3 linked regions of the Oryza sativa Japonica Group genome follow. The main gene of each other region encodes a partner of the protein of the gene in region 2 in a complex. Links are inferred from orthologs where the notes say so. Each region holds a gene or a part of one and is shown on either strand. Other genes may lie near its edges.

Region 1 (5,633 bases), about 15 Mb from region 2:
GATAGAGAAGCGCAGCACTATGACTTTAGGATATTTTTAACAGTCCGATCTATCGCGAACGAAGGAGATCTGTTCCCTCTCATATGAACCGTACTCATCTGCAGTAATGTAGACGATCCAGATGCCTTTGTAGCACATCATAGCCTAATTACTAATTGGAAAATCTAAGAATGTCCGAACGGGTGTTTAGCCTAACGCACGACCATGCACCCCAGTCGCGTCCTTTTAAAACACAAAGGCAATAATACCATCGTTTGGGACTTTAGATTAAAACAAAAGGTAATTACCAAATGCCATCGGCTGCCTGGGTTGCGGCTGCCGATCAGGCATTCACGCCCGCAATTGCCCCAAACATGATTATCTTATCCCATAACAATACCAAACCAAAGCCTTGTTTGGATCCAGATGGCTAATAATTAGCCCTCCAGAATCTTACTATTTAAGAATATTAAACGTAGATTACTGATAAAATTCATTCCATAACTCCTGGGCTAATTTACGAGACAAATCTAATAAGCCTAATTAATCCATGTTTTGCTACAGTAATAATCCGCTAAGTATGGATTAATATATCTCGTTAGATTCGTCTTGCAAATTAGCCCAAGAGTTATGGAATGGATTTTGTCAGTAACCTAGGTTTAATACTCCTAAATAGGATGACAGTTTGCACAATGTTTCATTACTCTCCTAAAAATGTAGTACATAATGTAATGGATGCACATCTTCTGCAGGAGAAATGATCATCGTACGACTAGTTTCCGTACTACACATAGTTTTTGCCGGGGTTTCTCCAAGAGAAATCACTCGTTATTTGTTGCCAATGTCTCTTCATTCACATCAAAAGCTTTTCTTGCCTGCTTGAGCTCTTCATTCATGGAGAGTAGCTCAGTGGCACGGTGCAGTTTCCGCACATCCTAGAAAGAAAGTACAGAGATAAATTTTAATATGACCTAATCAACTGTATTGCAAGCAACTTCACATGTGGAGTTCAGAAATGTACCTTGCGAATGAGGTAAAGAAAATCTTCTGTCAAGAGCTTGCCCCTCTTTGATGCAACGTTCTGGGCCTTGTGGACCTAAGAAAGTGCACATTATACAGTCAACAGTTACGGAATCATAAATAAACATTACATACACATATGGTTTTATCCACATGCAGGTATTTAAAATCAAATAAAAAATTACAGTTAACTAAATTCTTGTGTTTGGTGTGTATTTCTGCTGTTACAGAGTGCATACTAGATTGTAGTCATGTAAAAATTTTGTCCAACAACCTGGGGCAAAGTAAGTCTGCAGGGTAAACAGACCTAATAAATTCATATCGTCGCGTATTCAGATCACGCATGGACAAATTATCTACAAAAATATATTCAGACAAGTGGGGCATGTTTAGATATCTTCACCCCATGTCACAGGTACATTTCATTTACACTATGCACGATTACAAACTCAAGGTTCCATATCATGCAGGAAAGTAGACTATATAGAGACTTTAAAGAAAATGCCTTTCTTAATATAGTTTACAGATAATTTAAGCAGGGAAGAACTGCCAAAAGATGGCAAAGCTCTATGAATCATTAACAAAAAGGGCTCCACAAGAGATGCAAATCCTGGTGATAACTATAACCGTTGCTGAACAGGTATGGAGTGTACCAGCCAGAACAATTTAAATTGGAGTGAATTGCACCTTGGGCTAGGAATATTTACCCAACTTTCTATTTGAACCATATGCTCTAGCCAATGTTTTTACTTTGGATTATGTATGTTTGCCTCTATGTTGCAATTTGGGCTTATATAACTGTCTGTAGAACTCTTTCTCCACCCGCAGTTCTACCAATGCCATCACAATCGCTACACTCTGCCTATGCACAGTAATCCACCAGCTCCAGCTTTTGCTCAGCCTCGAGCTCCACTAGTGTTAGCCCCTGATTTGAGCTCAAGATGCTCCACCATAGCGCTGAGACGGTGTTCCGGCCAGTGGGTGCAAGAGCAGGGGATGGTCAGGTGATTAGCATGGAGAGGTCTGGAAGGTTTGTCACTGTATGAAGCTCTTCAACTTATCTGGTGGTTTATGATTGAGAAGGGAACTGAGGATGGAAAAAGTTAATTAAGGCTTTTATTTGTGGTGGACTAGCTGAGAAAGGCTTGGCAAGATGCTCCACCATAGCGGCCTGCACAAATGAGCTGCCGCAACGAGAGCACATGATGGCGCACAAGGAGAGGAGACGAGAGGACTGACGAGGAAGATGACTATATGGAGGCTGACGTGTGGGACTAATGGTCCAAAGTGCAAAATTTGATACCATAAGCTGGTTCAAAGTGAAAACCTTTGATAATACCTAATCCAATGTGCAACTTAGGAAATAAAATCTAGTCCAAAGTACAGTTCACACTTAAATTAAAGTTCAGATTTGAGACCATAAGAATAAAGTATAACTTTATATTTTCTTGAAATTTCATGTACAGGTACACTAGTTTACTTTCATATGCCGGATCTGAATTATTACATATTAGCATGCAAAAAGTTCGAATCCAATATTTTTATCACAAAACTGGTTTACTGCCGGTAACTAGCTGGTAACTGGTTTTTTGATTCAAAATTTTGGAATCGAACTTTTGTCCAGTAGAGACCTGGCAACTTATTTTCCAGAGGGAGTAGTTCTTTTTTCCCGAAACCAGTGTTCAAACTTCAAGCCCTTGGGCTCTACACAAATATGAACTATAGGTTAAAGTGAAGCCCCTATTAATTCTCAAAACATAAAAGGCTTCATGTTTCCCGACAAACAGAAGCACTGAACCTAATCACTCTTTCCAGAAAACTACCTAATCACTCTTTCCAGAACACTAGAATTGAATTAAATAAGGCAACAAATAAGGATGTCGAAATCCAAATAAACTCCTTTCATCCATACAACCTTCATAAATGTAATTTCAGTAGAAAACAAGAAAGACAAATACAATGAAAGCTTACCAGGTCAGTGACATATTCTACAACAATGTCCTCCACAAGTGCAACAGTTTCTGGAAGCGGCTGCAAAACCAACAGAAAGATGTCATTTACATACAAGATTTTAACTTAAAAGGTAGAACAGCATGTCCATTCTTTCTTAGGCAATCATGTAGTTGTGTTGTAAATCCATGGCCTACTTGCAATTATTGTCGTTGTCGGTGTTAATTACCTCCAATGTTCCACAACACAAAGTACACAAATTGCATCCTATCCCCAAACAATTCCTAGCCTGAAAATTAAGAGATGAAAGGCATAGATCGAGGTCGGGCTTACATTTGGATCATCCCCAAATCCGTACATCATGTGCTGCACTGCAAGAACGGGGAAAAATGCAGCATAAACAACGAATTCGAAGAACAGCAGCAGTACTAAAGTTTAGAAAAAACAGTGCCGTACGGTCTTTCTGGAAGACGCCGCGCTTGCGCTTGAGGGTGGTGGCGGACGCGTCGGCGCCGCCGCCGCCGCCGCCGCCGCCGCCGGAGTGGTGGTGGTGGTGGTGGTGGGAGCTCCCCTGGCCCGACGCCGACGCGGCGGCAGCGGTCGAGGACTTGGACTTGGCCGCCGAGGCCGGGCTAGCGTGGTGGCCGCCAGGGTTCTGCATCCCGGCGGAAGAGCGAAGGACGCGAGGGGTGAGGGAGGGAGACGGACGCCGCCCGCCCCCTCTTCCCGACGGCCGGCGGCGCTCCCCTCCCCTTCCCTTCGCTCCTCGCCGCCGCTTGGATTTAGGGCTTTCGCGTGCACTATGCACAGCCGTGATGGATTTCTGAGGGGCGAACTGGAAGGAAACGAGTGGAGTCAGCCTCACACTAGCGGCGGAGCGTAAGGCCGGGAAGGGGGAGAGGCAATCGCGGCGGAAGCGTACCGGCGGCGAAGGGAAGGAAGCAGCTGGTGAGCGTACCGGCGGCGATTCGAGAATTTTCCGGTCCTTGCGGCTTGTATGGTATGATTTGGAGTTTACACGAGGGAATTGCGGATGAGATTAAGATGAGAATTTAATTTTTAATCCTAATATCTTGTTTGGTAGAGATGATAAAAATTGATAAGGAGTTTAGTTAGAGATTAGGTCATTAATAAAAATGGATGGCTGAGATTTGCTTAGACAAAGTAAAGGAGGAATTCCCTCCCAATTACCTGCCGTATTGAAAAGGAGGGATCTACATCCCACCAAAATTCTTATGTCTCCCAACCAAACAAAACACTTAATAGCCTCATCCCTCTAAACTCCCAATCCCTCCTGAAAACTCTCTCCAACCAAACGGGCCATTTGAGAAATTTTGCAACACACCATATTGTCCAGTTTTGCATTACCGTTTTCGAGTGAAGACCGGTTTGTATCGGTTTGGTAAAAAAAACAATAAGAATAGCAATTTTTAATCAATTTCATACGAAAATTGCTACTCACTCCGTTCCAAAATATAACAACCTGTACTAGATGAGACATATCTTAGTACAATGAATCTGGACAGAGGTACAAGGTTGCTATATTTGAGGGAGTAAAACCACTTAGTTTTCGTAAACCAGTCCCCACGGCATTTTTACGAGAACTGGGTGATTTTCAGTCAGTGATTGCAACATTAGACTTGAGATACAGGAGAGCATAGATAAAGAAGACATGAGCCACTTAAAGATAAAGGAGAAATAACACTTTCAAAAATATTAGAGCACTTAAAAAAGGATAATGAGTTAGTACTTAGAAATGTGAAGAAAATGGTTCATATAGGGAAAGGACGAGGAACAGGCAAATTATTGTACCTATGGCTAGATCTGATAATAGAGAGTAGAGCGTCAACAACTCGACAATAATGATAACCAAATAGCTAAACGTTTCCAATAGAAAGTTAGAAGTCAATGTTGGAGCACTTGCCACCGCCGCTAAAGAGATGGCTAAATCTAAGTGCCATTAAAATTAGATCATGGCGATGTGCTTAAGGACCGATGACGATGAATGAACAAGGATTTGCAATGGGACCTACAACTAGATTAGTGGTTGTGGTGGTAATGTGCACAAGGAGAAAGAGTGGCAAACCTCTGGTCTTAAATGACATGACAACTTGCAACTTGATATCTTAACTCTTTCAATACTCCAAAGTAATATTCTTGGAAGATATGGACCTAATGAGAAACGGGTGGAGATATGAATTCATCTTTTTTCAATGGCAACTTCATTTTTAGAATGTTCCTCAATGCCCTTTTTTTTTAATTCCTAAAACTTGTTGCCTACCTCCCACTTTGTTTTTTTTTTTGTTATCTTTGGTACTAAGGAATTGACTTTATGCCACCGAGTTTAGTACTCCATCCGTCTCAAAATATAACAACTTCTAACATTCAAAATTTATCCCAGAATATAACAACTTCTTCACCTACAATCTCTTCTCAACCAATCACAATCTTCCACCATTCAAATTCTCCACCAACTTTCTCTTGTCAACCAATCACAACTTTCTTTCGTTTAATTCTACATACCTTCTTAATATCTGTGTCCAAACCTAAAACTCTCTGTATTTTGGGAGGGAGGTAGTAGCTTTTGTTCCCTCCAAAAAGAAATTTTAGTAGCTTTTGTTTAATTATTATTGAGTATATTCACGGTGACAATATACCACTAATTTTACAGGGAACTGATATTA
Region 2 (5,644 bases):
AAGTTTATGTATGTAGGAAAGTTTTGATGTGATGGAAAAGTTGGAAGTTTGAAGAAAACATTGAGAACTAAACCAAGGCTGTGTTTAGTTTCTGAAATTAGAGAGAAGTTTAGAGAAAGTTGGTAGTTTGGGAAAAAAAGTTAGGATTTTATGTAAGTAGAAAAGTTTTGGATGGGATGTGATGGAAAGTTAGGAGTTTGGGAGAAGTTTAGTGTGAACACCTAGGCCTGAACCAAAACATGTTCTCAAAATAATTAAAAAACACCAAAACATCAATAGAAAGAAGACATGATCAAGATGTACCAGTGATGTCAAGTAACTAGATGCAGCCAGCCACTTCCAAAAATGAAACGAAGAAAAATAAGAAAGGATGAGATCCCCATAAACAATTGCCTAATTTCAGAATCATCGACAATACCAATACACACAATGCTCAAGGAACACAATGCCGGCGTAAATGCTCCCGCCGAAGCTGCAGCCTGCAGGACATAAGATCCTGCATAGCATCCGATCTTGAAATAGCAGAAAGACACTTCGTTTAAAAAATCGATTAGTTACAACGGCAAGAGTTCTACGTATAAAAATAGCAGAAAGACACATCGTTTGGGTTAAAACGAGGGTCGCATTTAATTGCAGACAAGCATATAATCAGATTCAGCGCATACTCCAAACAGCATAGTACACAGTTCAACTATTCATAAGCCTGAAAATTCACAGCCTACGGCCAATACTTTATACATAGAATTTTCCACGGCTAGTAGTACCGTAGTACTTCAGCTTGTACGTACTGTTTGCTCTGGTTCCCTTGCTGCGACAGAAATCACAGTAACAATTTCACAAAGCTGAAGAAATACATCTCATGTCATTCTCTCTTTCCGCGCATCTGACCGCAGAAAGGACCATCTCAGTGTCGACTGGGATCAACAGAGATGCTTCAATTCTAACGGAAGAGCCTGGGAACAGTCCGCCGTGGGATCTTCCCTTCAAGTTTCAATCTTCTGTAGGCTTCTCTGATGTGGCAAGGCCTTACTGGTCCAGAATCTTTCCTCTCAGTCATAACTATTCTAGCTGCAACAGACACAATCGAATTGTCAAAAATAAAGTGAATAAAGCCATCCCTCCTTTTTCTTCTGATGTCAGAGAACAAGTTTATGGAAAGCAGAAAAGGACATTTGAACACGGACGATTACAAAAGATCAGTCATAAGAGTGATTTGCTTTAAGAGATGAGCATACATCAAAATCATAGGTGCTTTGGTGGTAGTGTTCTATGAGCAACAAAGTAAATAAGATAATTACTCTAGACTTGCCTGTTTCAACAAGCTCACCAACAAACATCTTTGCAATTCCTGATACTACAATTGTTGTTGGTAGAGAAATCTTTTGACTGCCAGTAATGCTCGCCAATAGCTGCATGGAAACAGAATATCAAATCAACTTTAAAAAAACATGGGTGTAGCTATATTTATGGCGTCATATTTTTCATCAAAAAATAGTCGGCATGTATTTACATTGTAAGTCCCTAAATTACATATGTAATTTTAGTGTATTTACAATGTAAGTCTCAAAATTACATATGTAAGTAATAAAATTACATATGTAAATTCGAAATTACATACTAATTACATATGTAAATGGGGTGTAAATGAGGTGTAACTACTGTGTAAGTGGTTAAAAAAAATCGACTGTAGCATATGGCGCCATATTTCTAGCAACTCCGAAAAACATTCCAATAACGCAGTGATCTCATATTTCAACCACTGATGAGGAAATACATTAAAGCACTTGTCCCTCTGACTAGAACGTAATTTCAAAGCATTGTTAACTTCAGGCATTCAACAGCCAAAAGTAACATTTTTACCGAGAAAAAGGTCAAACTTTGGATTGACACTACAAAAAGGCTTTCTTAGCCTGCCTATAAATTGAAGAAAAGAATATTGACCAAGTTTGGTTTTTTATTTAGAGAGTGTACATCACTTACAATCAGTAGAAACGATGACATAGGCAAAAATGTATTTATCTACAACTTGGAGCGAAATCAACTGTCCTGTACATGAAGCTCTATCAACAATTTGGACAAGACATGCATGGTACATTGTACAACTCATGGTATGCATCCACAAAAGAAACATGAACCAAAATAGAACAGGTGTTATTCAACAGAAAATAAGGTAACTGTAAGACTTAAGAAAGCAGAAAATGTTAATGTGATCCACATTTTGTGGAAAGCTTTTATTGCAAAGGGGAACACTGAAGCCAATTCAGATGGAGGCGCCACACGCATCACACGCACATGATATTGCAGTTTATACTTGTACGATATTAAATCAATGGATGTTGGGAATGAGATCATACCTTTTTCATGTTAGATTTCTGGAATCCAGATCTGCGGAATGACTCATACCGGTTCATCTGGTCTTCTGTAAATTGAGACAGTATGGCACTGGAAAAGGAGTACATAGTTTTTCAAACATAGAATTCTTATTTAGATGGGTTTAATATTTCACTATATATATTGGAACATAAATCTGAGAAGTGCATAATGTCAGGATGTTCTGTAAATAAAATCACAAACAATTGAGAACAATCCCCTTTTCCAATTCAGAAATCTCCACTAGTACAAATCTTACTGTCACAAATTAACCAAAGTTGAACGGTGAAGGACACCAAAATACACTGAACTTGATCAAGAACATATTCTCAATAGACAGTCATATGGTTCCTAACTTTAACTGATCTTTATGCCAGTAAACGCTTCACATATAGCTGGAAACTGGGACTACAGTCTTTATGAAGTGAATAATGTCAGGTTGTTCTGTAACTACAATCACGAACAATCCTTACTCCAATTCAGAAATTTCCACTAGTACAAATCTTACTGTCACAAATTAACCAAAGTTAAAAGGGTGAAGGACGCTAAAACACTGAACTCGATCAAAGAACGTATATACTCAACAGACGGTCATATGGTTCCTGAATTTAGTTGATCCTTATGCAGTTAACCCTTCATATATAGCACGCACCAGAAGAAGGCAAAACTAGGTTTAGGATGAGCGCAGCCAAGCACCTACTTCATCTTGGCGAGCTTGTCGGGGTCGCTGGTGCCGGAGGGCAGCTTGTCGAGGTCGACCTCCATGTGGTCCTCCTCGTCATCCTCCTCCTCCTGCTGCTCCTTCTGGACCCGCACCACCTTACCCCTCGCCGCGGCCGCGGCGGCACCACCGGAGCCCGATGGCGCGGCCCTCGAAGGAGGCAGCCGCAGCGGAGGCCCGCGCGACCCGCTGGCGCCGTCGTATCCCTCGGGCGCCCCGGCCGCGTCCTCCTCGTTCGCCGCCGGCGACTCCGGCGGCGACTCCTGCTCCTCCACCGCCGCCTCGAACGGGTCCTTCATGGCCGCGGCTGGAGACGAATCGCAAGAGTCCAGAGTCTTCTGAAAATTTTTGGGCCGGGGTTGACCTACCTGCTCGCCGCCGCCGGGCTTGGTGGGCTGCTTCGCGCGTGGGCCTTTTTCTCGGGCCGGATTTCTGGGCCGATTTCTCCGTGGCGGCCGCGAGAATTTTCACCGGTGAATCAAATCGCTCGTGCCGAACGCGCCACCGCTGAGCAGCTCACGCCTCACGGCGCGTGCAGCAGCGGCGGAAACAAATTCTCTAACTGACATATGAATTTTGCAGTTCGTGAACCTACATATTAACGACGTACTCCCTCCGTCTTATAAAAGACCAACTTAGTACTAGATATAACACATCCTAATACCATAAATTTGAACACACTATACTAGAATATATCACATATAATCCTAGATTCCTTTTTTACGTCAGAGAACAACATCAGAGGAGCATTCTTTCAGCAACGGCAGATGTTACACGCTTATACACAGTTGAAACCGTGATGTGGCCTACCTCCGATGCGGACCTTACAATGGCCGGGCGCAAAGTAAAGAAAAAAGGAACAAAAAAAAACAGGATTACTACTACTACCATCATCAGAACAGCAACAAAAAAGTTTCATCTTTTCGTTCGAGACGTATCACATCGTGCAACAGGTTTTCGGGACCAGAAAACTCCCAAGCCGTGGGCACTGACCCACCGAGAGACCCATCCTGAGAACGATGCATCAAACGTGTGCAATAAAAAGCTTAAGCAGCTACAAAAACAACAACCCCGATCGATCACGCTGGGATTTGGGCATTCAGGAGGAGGATAGGATTTGCTTTGCCCCCCTCTCACAGCTTTTGCATTACCTCCGTATCGCGCCTTGTTTAGTGGAGGCCGTTTTGTTTATTGCCGCTAATCCTAACGCATAGGATTCTCGCTCGCTCACCATTGACCTCCTCTTTGCCCAAGCAAAGCCTCGCCATTAGATTACTTACCCAGATCACACAACAATATTCTTCGCTAGTTCTTGCAGCTCTCTCTCCCCTGAATAAAATTGACGGCACAAAGGTGCTTTCTGGCGCCGATCACTTTGCTCCACGAATATAAAAAACAACATACTATATGCACACACATATATACTATCATACTCCGTATGATACATCATACATGTGAATATAAAACGACGAGAGCCACATATATCGTCGTGTTTTTTTTTCCGCTTTGCTGGTGATGAGAGTGAATATTCGACCGGCTGTTCGTCTGAGGCTCGTCTGACCAAACTCCCGCTATCATTGCCGATTATTATTCCTCGCTTCGGTTGCGCTGATCGCTTTCAGCAACAGGGGGGGAGGGGGGGGGGGTGCGACAAACAAAAAGAGATGCCCAGCTCGTGTATATCTCTCGAAGACTCCCAAAGCTGTGTGTGTGTATATATATATATATATATATATATATATATATATATATATATATATATGGGGCACCATGGTGCCCGGGCACCATGGTATCTAATGCACAAAATCACTCAAAATTTTCAAAATTTTTAAATTGTGAGTATATACCTAGTTATAATAATTTGATTCATACCTATACTTATCAACAAAACAACTCAAATTTAACTTTATTTCATAATCCATGATTACATACCTAACTAATTATATGTATGGATGCTATATACCTAGAATCAAAATATAACAAAAACAAGTTCAAATTCAGTTCAAACTTGCTTTAAACTAGTTAGTAAAGTAGTTAATGTTAATACCTAAGTAATTGAAAAAGTTTCATACTCATTTGAATTGGGTATATACTCAATTTCAACAATGGTGCCCGGACACCATGGAGCACCAAACAAATTTAATATATATATATATATATATATATATATATATATATATATATATATATATATATATATATATATATATATATATATATATATATATATATATATATATAGAGAGAGAGAGAGAGAGAGAGAGAGAGAGAGAGAGAGAGAGTCCTGCCTCCAACTGGTAGCGTATAAAATATCATCGTACGCTTGTACTAAATGGAGGTCGTATCTGCGACGGGATCGTAGCCAGCCAGGCCTGATCTCCTGCTATACTACCTGCAATGCAAGTCCTGGCTGGAGCTGCAAAAGTGTAGCCTTGTCCGGTTGTCCCCTGTTCAGGGGCGTACGTGTCGAGCTCCGGCGATCTCTGCTGCCGCCGGGACGGCCGGCCGGGTGCGTCCGTGCGTGGTTGGGATCTCACAAGGTGGAGCTCGCCA
Region 3 (5,624 bases), on a different chromosome or scaffold from region 2:
AATCTTAGTTCAGTGATGGTATGCTACATTGCATGAGTAAAATGACGCTTTCTACTAGACATCAGTGAATGTAACTTAGTAGCTGATGGCAAACATAAATAGTGGTGTTTCTTTGACTTAAGTGAAATTGTAAAGAAAATCTTGCTACTTGACAATAAATCATATAATTGACCTTTTCTTGATAGCATATAACGGTTATGTTTCCTTGTTGCAACTTCTCTTTGTATTATATTATTTGGATGATTTTCAAATGGGATAAGTCCATTTGACAACTCCGAACTCTTCGCTTTGTCTAAAATAAACCCCCAAACTCTAAAACTGAGTATTTGACACCCTCTAACTTTTCAAACCGTCTAATTTTAGCCCCTTAGTGGAAACCAACGCAAATTTTCTTATGTGGTGCCTACATGGAAACTTAGCTATAAAAGAACATAAAAAGGTGGGACCCGTAGGCCACCTCCCCTCTTTCCTCTTACTCTTCTTCTTCCTCTTTCCTCTCCTTCTCCTCTTCGAGATGAATGACGAGGGTAGAAGGCCGTTGATGAGTTCCCGAGCTTAACAAGTAGAGTAGCGAGGCAACCTCCCTGAGCTCAATGAGGCGAGTGCCGACGACTTCCCTGAGCTTGTGTAGCAGGCCCAGCGGCATCGGCTCCTTCATTGAGCTTATCGTGGGATCGAGGTTGTGCTGCTGGCACTTGTCTTCTCTGACCTCGGCAAGTGGGTGTTGGGGGGGGGAGAGCTCTGGGTCTACGATGACAGCAACACTTGGATAGGACGAGTGGCAGCGGATCTCAGAGCTTATGATGACATCGAAGCTTGGGTAGGAGGGGCCGATTACTGCCCATCAACCCTCCTTGGAACTTGCTGGTGATCCCGTCTTCTCCGTGCTCAGCAGTTCCTCTTCTCCAAGCTCGCCGCCAACCCCCCTCTTCTCTGACCTCAGCCAAGGGGCAAGCTCCACATCGAGCTTGCTGCCAACCTTCCTTTTCTTCCGAGCACGACCAAGGGGGTGGGCTCGGCACGAAGCTCTCCGCCGACCCCTTTCTTCTCTATGCTCGCATCTAGCTCGCAGCTCCGTCCATCTCGTCATGGCTGCCTCAAGCTCATAGAGGGAGGGAGTCGAAAGAGAGGGGAAGGTGAAAGAAGACTGTAGGACCTGCTGACGTGGTGTAAACCGCTCAGGGGGTATAAAGTGAATGGTATTAAAAGTTAGAGGGTGTGAAATATCCGGCTTTAGAGTATTGGGTGTATCTCTACTATTATAAAAACTGAAGATGTTTTTGCTAGAATTTTGGTTTGTCATCCATATTTGAGTCGGTTTTTAAGTTCGTTCACTTTTGAAAATACAGAACCGTGTTTGAGTTAGATTTTAAGCTTATTTCCTATTGGAAGTAAGTCGTATAAGAAATCTTTTAAAAAAACTCACATGCTAACTTCAAATTAAATACGGTCTCCTAATTGCAGCTCATGATTTTCTGAAAAAATATCCAATCAAATTTTCACAGTGAATTTTACCGTAGCTAAACCGTATAACAACAATAAAATTAAAATAGCATTTACCCGTTCCAATGCATAGACTTTTTTTTTCTAGTTTTAGACAAAAACGAAGACTTCATAGGTGTAAAATAGACTTATCCCTTTTTTTTCCAAACGGGCCTGAACTCCGCCCATCCTACGCTTATTACCAAAAGGGCCGGAGTACAGCCCACCACTCCCCTCCCTCTTCCCCCCTCCTTCTCGAGCCTCCGGCGACGACGACGACTCCCGCCGCTCTTCCTGGTCCATCGGCGGCGAACTTCCCCGCCGACGTGCCAGATCTCAAACCCCACTAGCTCCTCCGGCGAAGGCGGGGGACCAGAGGATGATGGGGAGCAACAGCGCAGGCGGAGGCGGCGGTGGCGCCATGGTTCCGGGGGGCATGGGGGGAGGAGGGCCCATGGGGGCAGCCGCCGCCGGCGGCGGCGGCGGCGGAGACGGGCGGCACGACGACGAGGCGGTCCTCACCGAGTTCCTCTCCTCCCTCATGGACTACACCCCTACGGTACGGCGCCTGCCGCCCATCTTGCCCTAGCTTCCCCCTCTCTTGGGTTTCGTGTCTGATGCGGTGGTGGTGGTGGTGGTGGTGGTGGTGCGGCAGATTCCCGACGAGCTGGTGGAGCACTACCTTGGCCGCAGCGGCTTCTACTGCCCCGACCTCCGCCTGTAAGCACCCCCATCTATCTCTCCAATAGTTCAATCTCTTCTCTCTTTCAGGAAGACTGCACCGTGCCTTCCAGGATGGGCCAATTGGTAGTTATTAAACTGAAATTCGTCCAGTGCCCGGAAATCACTGAAGAGATTTGGACTGAATTTTGCCTGATTCTTAGTACGTACAACATGGTGACAGTTAGATCTGATTGAGGCTGTTAGGATTGCATTGTAATGCAGCGTGTTGCCATTCTAGTCGAGGGAGAAAATCGCTGTATCCCTTTCAGCTTGGTGATTGTTGGTCGTCATGTGTGACAGCATGGCCTTATGAACCATAATTTTTGTGTTCTCTGCAGAACGAGGCTGGTTGCTGTAGCCACCCAAAAGTTCATTTCGGACATTGCAAGCGACTCTCTTCAGTATGTAACTTTTACTGCCTCATTCGTTTTGTTTTCCAACTTAAACGTATGTGCGATTATTTTGTTCCTTTTTAGTGGTTATCGATTCTTGGAGTCGAATTTTCGTTACCTTCAGATAGTGAATGAGAAATATGATTTCTGATGATGGTCATGAACCATGAGGTTTCTTGCATCATTCATAAATGGAGGTGTATGCAATATGCTTCATTCTTGAGATGTTGAGTAGCCTCATTTCTCCTATGCTGGCAGCTTTTTGAGATAACCATGTTGATTTTAGGCTTGTTTTCTTCATACTGTCAACTTGCATCTTCTTTGTGCTTCCTTTTTTTTGTTTCTATCATCCTTCTCACATTATGACCATGGAATGAAACATCAAACATGGTATCTTATGTCTATATTGTTAAGACAATAGATTGCGAAATATGCATAACATTGATGTGGTAGGGAATCTAATTTCAGTACTGACTGAAACTTTATGTGTAAAGTCAAGCTTCTTATGGTGTTGCTTGTATCATAACTTGTGACAGTTAAAAGGTATCATGCACACTAATTTGTTCATCACATGATTATTGTCCTGAACTAGGCACTGCAAAGCCAGGGTAGCAGCACCTATCAAAGATAACAAGAGCAAGCAACCTAAGGTGGGTTTAATTGCAGTTGGTGTACCATGGTACTACTAGCATGAAATCAGTACTTTTATTTACTGGTTCAGTCATTCTGTTCTTCAGGATAGGCGTCTTGTGTTAACAATGGATGATCTTTCCAAGGCCTTGCAAGAGGTAAACCATTTTCCTGTTGAATTTAAGCTTTCCCTTTTACTGCAGCTCACCAGTTACCACTGTACTTTACGTGATTGAAGTCACAGTTTATTCAGTTTGACGTATAATTGCAATTATTAGTTTTATTAGGACTTGAATCTCTGCATTAATAAATCTACTGTAGAATGGATTTAGTTAACCTTTTTTAGACCAATGGGATTACTTGTTAATGTTTTTTTTAATGAAACAAGTAGCCAAATTGATCAGTTGTATATGCTTCACGATGCTCACGATTAATCACAATTCAGATAGACTAATCAACTCAACAATCAGTCACAGCCTACTTGTATTGGAATATTTTACCAGAAGAACAAATGGGAAACTATTTTGATCCCTTGAGGGGATGTGCCGCTTAAAAATCATCTAAACGGTTATGAAAAATTCTAGAAAAATTTGACAACACTTATACAACATATCTATACAACTTCACAAAATCTTAAGTCCAAATTCAACTCACACATCGAGATATAAAAAAAGACAAATTCAGCGTATAAATAGTACCGCACTGTTAATATCTGAATTTGTCTTTTTGGGTTCTCGATGTGTAGGTCGAATTTGAACTTTATTTTTGGTGGACTATTAGATATAATTGTACTCTACATTGTCAATATTTTTCAGAATTTTTAACAACTATATTTGCATTGATTTTGAAAGAAAAATATATACGAGGGGACATCCCCTCGAGGGATTAGAATCCACTCCCCAGAACACATACATTATAGTACATGAAATAAGCATTTAAGCAGACCTGGGATGAGCTGCTCATATACAGGGATGAGCTGCTCATATACAGGTCTATTTGACAAATGATCTTCTATGCTTTCCCTTCCCAGCAATATTCTTGGCAAATGACTGATTCAGCTATAATCACATCATGGTCAGTACACTTATGTTTACAATTCCATGGTTCAGAATCAATCTACCTTCTACACACGAAACCTCACACAAAAGGGCATCCTTGACATGTCACAATATCACATAACTCTGGACTGTAATGCTCTACAGATGAGCTATCATTATAGAAGCTTTGTGCTTTCATGAAATATGTTTGTTCCACATACTACCAATTTGAGATTTATTTTTGTTTTCTAACATGCTGGCAGCTATCAGTAGATCATCACGTCATTTGATAGAATTAGATTACCATTGTCCAGCGTTTAGTATTGTAACTCCTAATTATCCTAATTAGGCATTTATGTTTGATGCATTTTGAGAAACTGGCACTTTTTACTCCCGTGTCAAATGCCAATATAGATCACAAATGTGTACATCAAATCCTCTATGGTGGTGCAGTAAGCTGGTAACCACTGACTATAGGCTAGTAGGCTCCTTTTTACCAAACATGTATACCAATGCTTAATTTCTGATGTGCACCATACTTATTTCCTTGCAGCACGGTGTGAACTTGAAACATCCTGAGTACTTCGCAGACAGCCCTTCTGCAGGAATGGCTCCTGCAGCAAGAGAAGAGTAGACTCAACTGAACTCAAAGTGAAACCAGGGACTATGTAGGGAGCATGCAAATGAATGACCATGTCGGCATCCTTACCCAACCTTATTACAGCATGCAAATGAATGAACCTGTCAGCATCCTTACCGACCTTATTACAACCTGATGTCTGTTCCTTGATATACTATTGACCATTAGCTTGTAACTAATAGTCTAATACCACTGGTTGCTTCTGTACTTAGTATGAAGTACTATCTGTGCTGATTGATTCCTCTGTGTGAAACCTGTTTTAAATTGCCTGGTGGATCCTTGACAGCTGAAAACTAATTGACTTTGCAACATGCTATAGCTTTTCACTACTTTGTTTCTTGATGTTGCGTTGGCAAACATCATTTCTCAGTGAAAATGCAACATGCTATAGCTTTTCACTACTTTGTTTCTTGATGTTACGTTGGCAAACATCATTTCTCAGTGAAAACCGCAGGGAGGTCTGGGAGTGATCTGGGGCCTGGGAGTGATCTGGAGATCAGGTAGGTCTACCTTATCTTCTCATTATTATATTGCAGGAACACAAGTCAAATCTGCATACAATGTGTATAGCGTCTGAAATAGTGTAAGAATGCATTGCTGAAATACAAAAGGTATATCCTGTCAACTTGTCATCCAAGAGCTATTTAAGTTAACAGTGAACTTCGTGACATTGTCACACAGAAAAACCCAGGTATAAACTAAATAAAGGGCCATGATTAC

The links. Proteins that work in one complex are often made in the same cells at the same time.
Region 1: transcription initiation factor TFIID subunit 11 (region 2) and transcription initiation factor TFIID subunit 13 share a complex: the UniProt entries of both Arabidopsis thaliana proteins name them as parts of the TFIID complex. The link is inferred for Oryza sativa Japonica Group from reciprocal best matches to the Arabidopsis thaliana genes TAF11 and TAF13.
Region 3: transcription initiation factor TFIID subunit 11 (region 2) and transcription initiation factor TFIID subunit 10 share a complex: the UniProt entries of both Arabidopsis thaliana proteins name them as parts of the TFIID complex. The link is inferred for Oryza sativa Japonica Group from reciprocal best matches to the Arabidopsis thaliana genes TAF11 and TAFII15.

Annotation. Positions count from the first base shown.
Region 1 is NC_089035.1:13,333,236-13,338,868, reverse strand, and holds transcription initiation factor TFIID subunit 13, read right to left. Parts: upstream 3,915-5,633; 5' UTR 3,872-3,914; intron 3,785-3,871; 5' UTR 3,611-3,784; coding exon 3,406-3,610; intron 3,321-3,405; coding exon 3,283-3,320; intron 3,031-3,282; coding exon 2,971-3,030; intron 1,076-2,970; coding exon 1,001-1,075; intron 915-1,000; coding exon 801-914; 3' UTR 243-800; downstream 1-242. UniProt on the Arabidopsis thaliana protein: TAFs are components of the transcription factor IID (TFIID) complex that is essential for mediating regulation of RNA polymerase transcription. May be involved in polycomb repressive complex 2 (PRC2) mediated repression.
Region 2 is NC_089035.1:28,594,874-28,600,517, reverse strand, and holds transcription initiation factor TFIID subunit 11, read right to left. Parts: upstream 3,432-5,644; 5' UTR 3,391-3,431; coding exon 3,071-3,390; intron 2,443-3,070; coding exon 2,355-2,442; intron 1,410-2,354; coding exon 1,310-1,409; intron 1,069-1,309; coding exon 941-1,068; 3' UTR 603-940; downstream 1-602. UniProt on the Arabidopsis thaliana protein: TAFs are components of the transcription factor IID (TFIID) complex that is essential for mediating regulation of RNA polymerase transcription.
Region 3 is NC_089043.1:20,159,687-20,165,310, reverse strand, and holds transcription initiation factor TFIID subunit 10, read left to right. Parts: upstream 1-1,710; 5' UTR 1,711-1,861; coding exon 1,862-2,041; intron 2,042-2,137; coding exon 2,138-2,202; intron 2,203-2,543; coding exon 2,544-2,606; intron 2,607-3,189; coding exon 3,190-3,247; intron 3,248-3,334; coding exon 3,335-3,385; intron 3,386-4,817; coding exon 4,818-4,898; 3' UTR 4,899-5,142; downstream 5,143-5,624. UniProt on the Arabidopsis thaliana protein: TAFs are components of the transcription factor IID (TFIID) complex that is essential for mediating regulation of RNA polymerase transcription.